Linked DNA regions of Drosophila melanogaster. The protein of the gene in region 2 interacts with the protein of the main gene of each other region in a pairwise test. Each region holds a gene or a part of one and is shown on either strand. Other genes may lie near its edges.

Region 1 (5,516 bases), on a different chromosome or scaffold from region 2:
ACGAGTACCAGGACAAGCTGGAAACCCAGCCGGAAATCAAGGAGTCCGAAGAGGACAAACCAAGTGCACCTCCCAATGCCTGCGGCGACAATGAATCCTTGCTTATTGAGCTTTCCAAGCAGCTGGAGGACAGTCCTCTAATAGATGCGCCGCTGGATGAAGATATACCTGCCCAAAATAGCACTAACAAGCTATGGTCCCGCTTGTTTAGCCAGCAGAATCAGCAACCCATACCGAGCCAAGTAGCCACGGACTCGAAGGCAAGTGCAGGTGGCGCCACCCCGGTTCCCAGCAAATCGCAGACCACCAACAATCCCTGGCTGGATCTTTTCGCCGACTTGGATCCCTTAGCCAATCCGCAAGCCTTCGATTTAAAACTGAGCGGCGGACGCAGTGTGGCCGAGCAGACCTGAGCAGATTACCCTCCCGCACAGATTATATTTGTTGATCTGCATATACCGTTGGAAACTAGCTAGTCAAAATGGAGAATCTTTGGATGTAACTTTTCGCTAAACGTTCAAAAACTTTTTATGTTTTATTTAAATAAAATTTATATGGGACACAGCAGCTAGAAGTGGATGAGGCGGACGAGAGGCAGGTAAAGTGGAGCAGGAGCCGCACTCATTTGACCGCCGCCTGTGCCTCCTTCTTGGAGTTAACCAGCTCGACCAGCTCTTTGACGCGACGTAAGCAGTCCTTTTTACTGCGATTCGGTATGCAGGCGGCGATGCAATCCCAGCGATCGGGTGTCGTCGTTGGATAGGTTTTAATGGCCTGTTCGAGCAGGGCTTGCTCCTCCTTGGTCCAGGTTTTGGAGGCAGCACCGCCGCCCGTAGACCCATTTGTGGCCGGAACTGGGGCTGGTGCAGCCGTGGGGTTTGCTGGAGCTGGAGCCGTGCCATTCTGCTTGGTTGACTGATTGTTCGCCTTATGATCTACACCGTTTTGTTTCAAGTTCTCCTTGCTCGCCTGGGCCGTCTCCTCGCCCAGGGTTATATCCTTACACGTCTGAACATCTTTCTTGGACTTCTCGAAACTGGCAAATGCCGCATCGTTGGCTTGAGTCTTCAGGGAGCTCTTCGAGTGATCTGTGTTCTGGAGCGCCTTGGCTTTGTTGAGCACATCCCTGGCATTGACCAGAACAGTGTTATCCGGGCTATGCTGGTTAATGAAAGTGGCTATGACATCCCAACGCTGTGCAGTGCCAGCGGGAAACAGATTAACCGCCTTGATAAGCAACTGCACGTTCTCATTGCTCCAGAGCTCATTCTTCTTGACCTCCTTAACGCCTTTTGGCGTGGCCGCTGAGCTGGCAAGCTTCTTGGCCTGTGTCTGGTTAATCTCCTCCAACTCGGCAGCTATCTTCTGCTCGGCCGTTTGAAGGGCAGCAACAAACGACTCACGGCCCTTGCTTTCCATTGCCTTATTTAGAGCTTGCAGCTCTGCCAGATTGAAGGTCTCGCAAATCTTCTCGGTGCCCTCCATGTGCTTCAGCTGATCCTTGTCGTTCTTGGCATAATACTTGCAGTCCTTGACCTTGTCGCGCAGCGTTTTGCGCTCCTTCTTAAGCAGCTTTTTCTGCTGCTCGCGTTCGATGCGGATCTGCTCGATGCGTTTCTGCTCGGCCTTTTCAGCCTTCTCCTTGGCCAAAGCCGCTTCACGGATGGCACGATCAGCTTCTGCCTTCTGGGCCTGGGCGGCGTCCATCTTGGCTCGCTTGGCAGCAGCCTTGCGATCCTTTTCCTCCTGCTTGAAGCGCTGAATGCGCTTATCATTGTTGTAGGCTAAATCGACGAGCGACCGGATACGAGACATTTCCTCCTTCTTGCGCTTGATTCGAGCCGCCCTGTTCTCCTTTTCGATCCAGCGACGTTCGTCGCGGTCCTGGCCCTTCTCCTTGTCCTCTTCGTCCAAGTAGCTGAATTCCCGCCATGACTTAAAATCGTACCAGAAGTTGTAGAAGCGCTCCACCTCTTCGCGTTTGGCGTCCACCTGCCCGAAGGAGGGAACATGCGGCTTTTCGCTCCAGCGCCCGTTAAGTGTGAAAAATTTGTTAAATACGCCAAAGTAGTCGTTATCGATGTCGTTCTGTGAGGGCAGCGAGTCGTCAAACTCGGGATCCACTGAGTCAAAGCTGCGGCGCGGCTTGGATGTGCCTGGAATACAAGATGGAGTATTAGATGGTTTAAGAGGAAATAGTTTAAAATCTTCCTGTCTATTTCGTACAATTGTTTACAATTATTCAAAGTGTTTAAAGCCAAAAAAATTCTGTTGTATAATAGTAAGTTATAATTTGGCATTTTGTTTAAAAGAATGTGAGAGCAAACAACTAGTCCTATTTTTAGATATGCAAAAATAAAGCTTCAAGTTCTGCGCGCTTAGACAAAGGCAACAGCACACCAATGAATTAGATCGAGTATAAATTAGTTTCAGATAATTTAAAATCTTAATTGATTATTATACTCAACAGGATTGTATGGTATCATAATTTTATATAGCTTAAGCAAATGCTCTGAAAATTAATATCAAAATATTCTTATCTGTCGATTTGCATGGGCAATGCGAAGTCCGAAGGACACCCAAGGATCAGCAAGGACATTTTCTTGACACCCACCCAGTATCTCGTAAGCTTTGGTTATGCATGTGAAGTAATCATCGTCCTGGATGACTTCCTCGCCCTTGGCTTTCCGCTTATCGGGATGGTGCAGCAGAACCATGCGCCTGTAAGCCCGTCGAACATCATCCTCGCTGGCCTCGTATCTAAAGGGTGATTTAGTCAGACAATACAGTATTAGTTGGGGAAGTCCCATTAAATATTGATAGAAACGAACACATGGGAAGAACACCACGTGCTGCCGTCGCACTAACCGGAGCTTGCCCAAGCCAAGAACGGCGTAATGATCCTGGTCCTTCCACTCCTTAGGATCCAGCGACTTTAGGTAGCTGATGTCCACCTCCTCGCCCACGCCCTCCAATTTCTCATCGCTTTCGCTGCGCTCCACGCCGCCGGGAGCTAGAAATTGGCGCCGTTGCGCAAAGTAAGCGAAGCCAACGCGCTCGATTTTACGGCGAACGACCTTGAGCGGCAGCTGCACCTCCACCGCCGTTGCTACCGTACCGCTCGTCATCTCTGGTCAGGTCCGCTGGTTAATGGGCATTCACCGCCACTCCTGTGGATTCACGTTACTCAAAATTTGGCGATCCGCTGCCTTCAAAACGTCGAAATCCAATTAATAATCACACTTTTCCGCAGCACCGCATGTGTTTCGACTAGTGGTGGTGAAACATCGATGCCATCATCGATTATGGCGCTGGTAAAATCGATTGGCTTCCTACTCTATATTTGATCGATAACAGCAAGCATGTATCGCTGGCACTTATTGGCAGTGCTGCCAGCTGCTATAGCTAAAATCGAATGGCAACTGTTGTATTGGTTTGGCGCCAAAGTGTGACCGTATCTCAACTAATGGTTATTTATGATTTATATATTTAGTTAACCGTCTTAACAAATTATTAATCCACGTTCATTACATAACAAATCCTACACTATTAAATACATTCCACATTCGAGTTTTTGTTATAATGGGCCACTAAAAAAAGAAAGTGTCATACAATAGTTAAGAAAACGACTGTTTATAATTCATTTGAATGATAACTTGACGTATATTCCAAAAACCATTAAGTTCTACCATTTGTTAGTTTTGCTTATCACATTTATTTATAACGAATTGTATAATTACAATTAAAGTGCTAAATAAGTGCTGGCTGTATAGTAATACACCTTTTATTTGCCAAAATCCATTTCACATTTCAGTAACACTTGACCTCATTACATTTAGATGGTCGTAAAATATTTTATACATAAGTATGCTTACTTTATTTACATTTCCGCTCTTTGATCAAAAGAAACGGTTTGTACAACTAATATTTGGTTTTCTAATTGATTACTGGCTGTTAAATTGACTATTAGTACTAGAAAACTAGTTGGTACACATTATGGTTGAATTGAACGAAGCTAGTAGGTTCATTGGCATTTCGTATGGTTGGCTTTTGTGGGAAGATCCAAATATCTTACTCTAAACAGATTTGAAACGCACACATATAAACGACAGTTCTTAAGTTTAACGACTAGAATTGTGCTGAGATAAATGTAATTCTTGCAACTTCAAGTATGGTGATTTAAAAATTCTACTAAGTAGCTTCAGTGTCGTTCTCCACCATTTCATTTCAGTGTTAAGCCAAACTTTGAAACATATGCCGGCGTAACTCCATTTGTATAAAATCGTTCCAAAAATAAATTCATCAGACACTCTATCGCCTTGAGATCGACTTAGACCCAGTGAGTGCGCGTACTCGGCTATAACGCATCGTTGTGGCTCTTCGATATCGTCGTCTCGATCTGGTCGATCCGTCGGAACGAGGGCATATAGCTAGAGCTGGCCTGCGTGACGATCGAGTTGTTGGAGGAACTCTAAAATATTGAATAGGAAAAATATATCATTATATAAGATAGGTTCTAGAAAATACTCTTTCTAATTAAACAGAATCATATGAACAACTTAAATACTATTTGATATATAATAATTTTTGAAACACTACGTATTGTACCTTTTTCTGTCGATATGAACGTCCCCGAACACGGGTTGTATTCCGGCGCACAGGATTGACCGTGGTGGACTTTTGGGATAACCGGACCGAGCTGAACGTGCTTCCCCGATGTCCTCGACGGATTTGCGGCGAAGGAGTGCCCGTGGCTTAAGCATTAGAATCAAATTAATGTTATAAGAATTTTAAGTTACCCGAAAGGAACACTTACGTGTTCCGGCAATGGCTGTGCTGCGTTTGCTAGCCTGAAGCATTCCGAAAACCACGGCACTGAAGGATCCATGATGGGAGGTCTGCCGCTGAAGATTCGGGGTTTGGGCCAGGGGAATCCCGGCTGGCATGCGAACCGGTGAGATCAGCTGGCTCTCCGATATTCCCTTGGGATGCACATAAAAGGTGGTCATCATGCCCTTGCCCTTCACAGCGATTTCACCACGTTTCTGTGGGATTTTGAAAAAACGTATAAGAATTCGGGATAGGTAACAAAAGACCCACTTACCACACACGTGTAACCCCTGGAGCAAAGCAATTCCGCCGTATTCTCCGGAACCTGAACTCGCCAGTTCTCGCCCGTGGAGTCCATTCGTGATGCCACATTGACCGTATTGCCCCAGATATCGTAGACCGGTTTCCTGGCTCCAATCACTCCACTTACCAAAGGACCACTGCAGATGCCCACACGCAGCTGGAAGTTATTGAAGGCATCCCCATTGATCTCCTCCAGCTTTTGCTTCATGGCAAATGCGAACTCCACCAGGTCGCAGACACTATCCTCGGAGGTCTCGCCGCGAAGTCTGAGATGCTCGTGATTTAATCCCGCTGCCGCCATATACGTGGCACCCACTGTTTTGATTTTCTCCACCGATGCGAATCGTGGCTCCTCCAGCAATTCATCAAAGTCACCTGGTTTG
Region 2 (6,447 bases):
GTGATTGGACAATCTGGGTCTGGTGAGCGGCTCTGAAAATATGGCATATGATATATATCGCATTATCAAAATTCCTAATAATTGTATTTCAACCTTGATGCATGATCGGTGGAATTAGTTTGGACGGTGTTGGCTACAAAGCGTCGCCTTCCGGTCACGAAAATTGCAGTTACTCATTGACAAAATGCACTTAAATAAATATTGAAATGCCAGATTGCAGCATGCGATTCACATGAAGTTCCCAAATAATTGCCATGGCTGGATTTTATAAATGTAGATGGCATACCATTTTTATGGGAATCTCATCTCATGTTTTGTTCTAATTTGTCAGGGTTTGTTTAATGACATTTTTATTTATGTTGACAATGCGTGAATTTCATTTGATTTTTACTACTCTAATCGCTTTTGTCTAAGGAATTACGCATCCCACTTAAAAATGGGGGGAGCTATAAAATCCAAACTGGAATTTAAGCCATCTGACACATTGCTGAACCTGCATATCGATTCGGTATGCAAAATTCACGGATCCTCCCATTTTGCCGACGGCAAATAGTAAAAATGTAGCGAGATGTTTTTGTAAAGATTTTTCTTTTATTTGTTTTTTTTTCGTGGATTTTTTGTGGATTTTGTTTTTATTATTTCCAGGTGCTTGGCAATGTTTTGTTGGATTTGTTTGTTTTCGCTGCCTTGCGCCATGTTTCACAATCACGTTTGCACGCTGCTTCTTGGTTTGTTTTTACTAAATTTGCTTTAGGTTTACTAACATTTTCTCTGGTTGTGTTTGTATTATGCAGTAGATGCTTGCCTTCGATTCGATTTATGTTTTAATAATAATAATAATTTTGTTTTCGCTTTATTACAATTAATTATGGTTGTCTTGTCTGGTATTTGTAAGCATAATTAATAATTAAATTGTTTATATAATAGATAATAATTATAATTACTTAATGCATAAGAGAATTTATAAAATAGAATGTTTTTTGACATTTTTCTTTGCTTTTCTGAAATATTTTCATCGCCTCGCCACAACTGCCTTTACTCCTACTAAACTTGTGCTTGATTCCGCGTCCCGTTGCTCCCTTCAATTGAACGCACATTTAATGTCTGAGAATGTTTTGTACAGCAAAAGGTGAGTGGAAATGAAATGCTAAACCAAACGAATTTGTTGTTGTTGCCGTTGTCCCCGTAATTGGCAACAGTTTATTTGTATCACACAATTGTTTTAGCTATGCAACAAGCGGGAAATCAAGGGAAATCGAAGCAGAACGGTATGGAATGCAAGTGAGTTGTCATCTTACTATTGTGGTACAACAGTGCGTATGCATCATTTAAATGACTAAACATTAATCCTATTCTCATTTATTTATATGCGCATGTGTTACTCTGCCACTTCGAAATTCGAATTAAACCTGCTTAAGAACTAAGGCTAAAATTGTGTCTGTGTGTGTGTGGCTGTGGTTGTGGGCGTGGGTGTGCGTATCCTAGGGCTTTAGTTAATATTTTCAATAATTTACAATGTGGATATATCCAGGAGGCCAGCACTGGCAGCCACCGCTGCCTCGTGGCCAGGATGATAGTGATGGTACAGCTGGTGTTGCTGCTGCTGCGGGAGGTGCTGCAGCTGCTGCTGTTGCTGCTGCTGCTGCTGGTAGTGTTGCTGTTGCTGCTGCTGGTAGTGCAGGTGGTGGTGCTGCTGCTGCTCCTCGAGATGCTGCTGTTGCATGTCCAGCATGCTGGCCGAGGCGGCAAAGGAGCTGCCTGCAGCCGCAGCAGCAGCAACGGCAGCAGCAGTTGCCGCCGCAGCAGCAGCCGAAGTGGCGGAGGAGGTGGCAGCGGAGGGGGTCAGCTGGTAGGCGGCTGCCAAGGCGGGTGAATGCGCGGCGGTATGGCCACTGGAATGCGCCGAGGAGCGGCCGCCCGACGACCCCGATGCCGTCGGACTAGGCCGTCCGTTGAGCAACTGTTGCTGCTGTTGTTGCTGCTGCTGCTGTTGCTGCGGGGCCGTCGGCATGTACGGCGGCAGTGGAGGCGAAACGCTCACACTGGAGCCTGCTGCTCCATAGGCGCTGGCCATTTCTCACATGTGTGCCAGCGGCGCCATCGCCCTCAGCGATTGCTGATGCTGCAGGTGGTGTTGCTGCTGCTGCTGCTGCATGGTATGGTGTTGCTGCGGGATCTGTTGGTGCTGCTGCGAAAGGTGTTGCTGCGGGAGGTGCTGCTGCTGCTGTTGCATCGACTGGTGCTGCTGCTGCAGATCGGGCGAGTCAGTCTGATAGTGCAGCAGGTGGCGCTGCTCATCCGGCAGATGGTACATATTCATCAGGTGATTCAGCTCGCCGCCGCCGGCGGCTGCTGCCGCTGCTGCTGCTGCTGCTGCCGCCGCTGCAGAGCTGTATTCCCGCTTCATGATGTGATTGTTGTTGATGTTGTTGTTGTTGTTGAGCGCTATGGCACTGGGACTGGGCGACACCGGTTCGGACTTGATGCTCGAGTCGCTGGGGCTGTGGCTCTGGCAGGAAACCTGACCGCCACCGCCTCCACCTCCGCCGTACGGAGTCGGACTGCCGGGCTGCTGCTGCAAGCTACTGCCGCCATACGGCGACGGTGATCCGGGCTGCTGGAGACTGCTGCCGTACGGCGATGTCTGTCCGCCGGACACCGTCTGGTACATCGCATACCCGTTGTTGTACATGTGTCCCATGTCGTACCGCTGCGCCGCGTAGTGCTGGCCCATGTAGGAGGTCTGATAGGCTGCCGCTCCGGCCGGATCTGCGTGCATCATGTAGCCATTGGGCATGTATCCATTGGGCGCGTTCATCTGGTACATATCCTGGCGCGCCTGTTGCGCTGCCGCTGCTGCCGCCGCCGCTGCCGCTGCTGCACTGCCTCCACTACCGTTTAGCGACTGGTTCTGGCCAGGCTGACCTTGCACCCGCGTGGGCGTCACCGGCTCACCCGGTGCTCCGCCGCCCACCGTCTGTCCGGGCATCAGGCCGCCCATTGGGTACTTCTCCTTGGTCTTGGTCAGCGTTTTAGTCTTGCGGCGCGGCCGGTACTTGTAGTCCGGATGCTCCTTCATGTGCACCGCCCTCAGGCGCTTGGCCTCGTCGATGAACGGTCGCTTCTCCGATTCCGAGAGGTCCTTCCACTGGGCGCCCAGTCGCTTCGAGATCTCCGAGTTGTGCATCTTGGGGTTGTCCGAGGCCATCTTCCTCCGCTGGCCCCGTGACCAAACCATGAACGCATTCATAGGCCGCTTCACACGATCCGCGTGCTGTTGGTTCTTGTTGGCCGTGGCGCTGTTGTTGTTGTTGTTGCTGGATCCTCCAGTTAGGCTGCTCAATGCAGATCCCGCGCCCAGATGCTGCTGCTGCCCGTGCTGCTGCTGTTGCGTGTGCTGCTGGTGGCTGACCGGCGATGTCATGTGATGGCTTCCGATGCTGCTCTGGGTGGGACTCAATTCGCTGGAGCTGTGCAGCGGGGAGCTCTGCTGCTGCTGCTGTTGCTGCTGCTGCTGCCCCACCTGGCTGCCATTGAGGGTGTTCGCCATCGAGGACTGCAGCGAGCTCAGCGGATTGGGACTCTGGCTGGCCGCGATATGGGCGCTCATGTGGTGATGATGGTGGTTGTGATGGCTCAGCTGCGAGTGGGTCAGGTGCGACTGGCCCAGGTTCATAAGGGGAGCTAGGGCGGAGTACGGCGATGCCGCATGTCCGTGCAACGCGGCACTTGTGTGATGCGGCGGCATGGTGGCATGCAGCAGGCTGCCTTTCATATCCGATTCCATGGTCAGCATCTTGCGGGGATTACTTCCAGTTTTCGGTGCGATAAAGCTGATTTGACTCAAAGTTGGTTCTCCGTGGATACTCGCCTCTAAGATGCAGTTACTCTTTAGCTTTAGTTTACTCTTTGCTTAGTTAGACATTTTGAACATTTTTTGGGAAACCATGTTGCACTTGTGATTTTTGAGATTTTGATTTTCGCTGCAGTTTTTATTTCGTAGTTTTTCGTATCTTTACGCGTATCAAAAATGTGGCGCTCGGCTATCTTTGGATTTGTAGCTAAACAGCTTGAATTGCGTTTTTTCCACAGTCACAAATATCAGATATACATATATGTTGTTTGCTAGCAAACAAACAAGAGGCGGCGTAAAACACTTGAAAATTGTTGCTAAAACCCGACGCGAAATTGCCTCAGAATATTGTTGTTGTTTGTATTAGATTTTGTTGTAAATATATTTGGTTTGGTTTGGTTGTTGTTTTTTTTTTTCGTATGCGAGAAGCGGGAACACCGAAAAAATACCTCCACACTGGGCGGAATTGAGCACCTTTCTGTTTCTCCGGACGACGGCGAAACCTGTTCGAGGTGCGTTCTACGCTGCTTTTTCCCTGGCTGTATGATGACTTTTTTTTCTTTCTTTCGTATCACCGCTTTTTGGCTAGCTGATGACGAGGCACGAACCAGAACCACCGATGCGATGCGATGCGAAACGATACGGATACGATACGACACGAAACCGAATTCGAGACAGCGAACAACCGAGTTGATGTTGCTGCGTGATGTTGCTGCTGATGGCGTGCTGCGACTGCCGTGCGGTACGTTGCGTGCGCGTGTGCTGACGACGGCGAATGCGAGAGTCGAATGAGAGACCGTCTGCCGCTGGCCGCTCGAGGAGGCGGTAAATGCGGTGCGGTCCGCCAGACAGGGTGGCTGGAAAAACTGGTCTTGAGTCGCGAGTAGCTGTGTGTGCGTCGCTGCTGTCCAAGTGTGCGTCGGCATTTCCATTGCCCGTCGCCTGTGCGGGAGCGAGATGAATATACGAGTGGCTGGCCTGCTAATAAATCAAATAAACTCGCTGCTGTGCATGTGTGCATCTGTGTGCGGTGAGCGCTGGCTGGGTTGGATTTTGCGCACACTGCTCCGCCAATCAGAGGACGGTGAGAGCGGTACGAATGTATCTTTATCTCGTTCCGTCACTATATCGATCCGCGTTGCGCTCAACGCTGCCATAAAAATGTCGTCTCTGCGTTTATGGCAAGCGCTGTTGCCGCTTTTCCGCTGCCGAAAGAGACTCTGAAGGAATTTCTCGTATAAATTTCGAGCTTTAAACATGGCCGAAACGCTATGGACGGGGGGAGCTGGAGCGGGCCATGGGTACTCTCAACCCAGTCCAGGGATCCAGGGACCCAGGGGCCTTAGTGTTTGCGGCGTTTTCGCCGTTAGAGCGCGTCTCACGCGCATAGTTTTTCCTGGTTTCCTTTTTTATTTTTTTTTTTGGCCCTGCTATATGTACATACAAAAAGATATATAATATAGATATATATATATATATATGTATGTATAGTCACTCTGCGTCTTACGCTGCGCTTCTTATTAACCTAATGGGTTTGCCAAGGTAGCTCACGAATAATTGTGTAGGCAGGCAGTCGGCAGATGGAAAAATTTATTAAGCAAGTGCAGCTGCAAATGTATCCTGCTCTCGCGGTAGTCGGCAGTTGTATCTCAGAACTTTGATGCGGTTTGGCTTACACGTATCACGTATCCGCCACATGAGCCAGCCCGTCCTACGGCATTGTCTTAGGGCACCATCTGCCCCACCACGACACCCCCCTTTAATTTACCACCCCGCGATGAATGCGTTTTTCCTCAGCTGACTCTGGTATTCCGTTTTTTGGGTTGCCCATGAGTAAATGTTGGGCTCTTTTTTTTTGTGCGACTTTTAGCAGTGCAAAGTGATTGGATTGCAGTTCTCAGCTGGTGAGAACTACTCACCAACTTGCAGTGCAGGTGGAAGTCGATTAATTGAAGATTTTTTGCACACTCGAAGAGCAAAACCAAGATTTATGGGCTTTTCTAAAAGTTATATTAATTATAAATTGTGTGTTAAATAAAAAAAATACCATTGTGGCTAAAATAAAACATACTTTTGCATCCGTAAACTACGAATAATATAGAAGACCATTTTTGTTCTTGAATAAATAAAATACAAATTATATGAAAAACTGCATTTCCTCGATAAATAATATATATACATTTTCTCCCTTTAAAGCACAATCAAAATTTCTTTTGTACAACTCCTTAAGCATCGTCTCCAAATTTCCTGCAAAGTCATCAAACACTTGAATCGAGCTACTAACCCATTAAAAATGTATAATGCAAACAAAGCCGATATGTGGGCTCGTCGGCTTAATGAATTTATGGCCAATTGCTAAACATTTGACAATGGAGCGAAAACACTGGGGCAAGCGGGCACAATAATAAAGGCAAGACCGGCAAACAATGCAAAACCTGCCCCAGTAACTGACCTACAACAACGCAACATCATAACATCAAAAACAACAAGAACGCAAATCTTAACCGCAAAAAGTTGGCCAAAGAAAAGGAATAAGTCAAAGTCGTTGTTGATTCTATGGGGGCTATTGTGTAATTTCAAATACAAAATGCAGA

The links.
Region 1: the proteins of SoxN (region 2) and CG10565 interact in a two-hybrid assay, tested with the Drosophila melanogaster proteins (one large-scale study listed by BioGRID).

What each region holds. Positions count from the first base shown.
Region 1 is NT_037436.4:21,132,750-21,138,265, forward strand, and holds CG10565 (uncharacterized protein), read right to left. Parts: upstream 3,605-5,516; 5' UTR 3,129-3,604; coding exon 2,869-3,128; intron 2,761-2,868; coding exon 2,615-2,760; intron 2,157-2,614; coding exon 622-2,156; 3' UTR 501-621; downstream 1-500. Other genes in the region: ICA69 (islet cell autoantigen 69 kDa), read left to right, coding at 1-413; Ac78C (adenylyl cyclase 78C), read right to left, coding at 4,358-4,471, 4,609-4,754, 4,817-5,045, 5,105-5,508.
Region 2 is NT_033779.5:8,823,843-8,830,289, reverse strand, and holds SoxN (SoxNeuro), read right to left. Parts: upstream 4,646-6,447; 5' UTR 3,797-4,645; coding exon 2,078-3,796; coding exon of another isoform or gene 1,511-2,077; 3' UTR 620-1,510; downstream 1-619.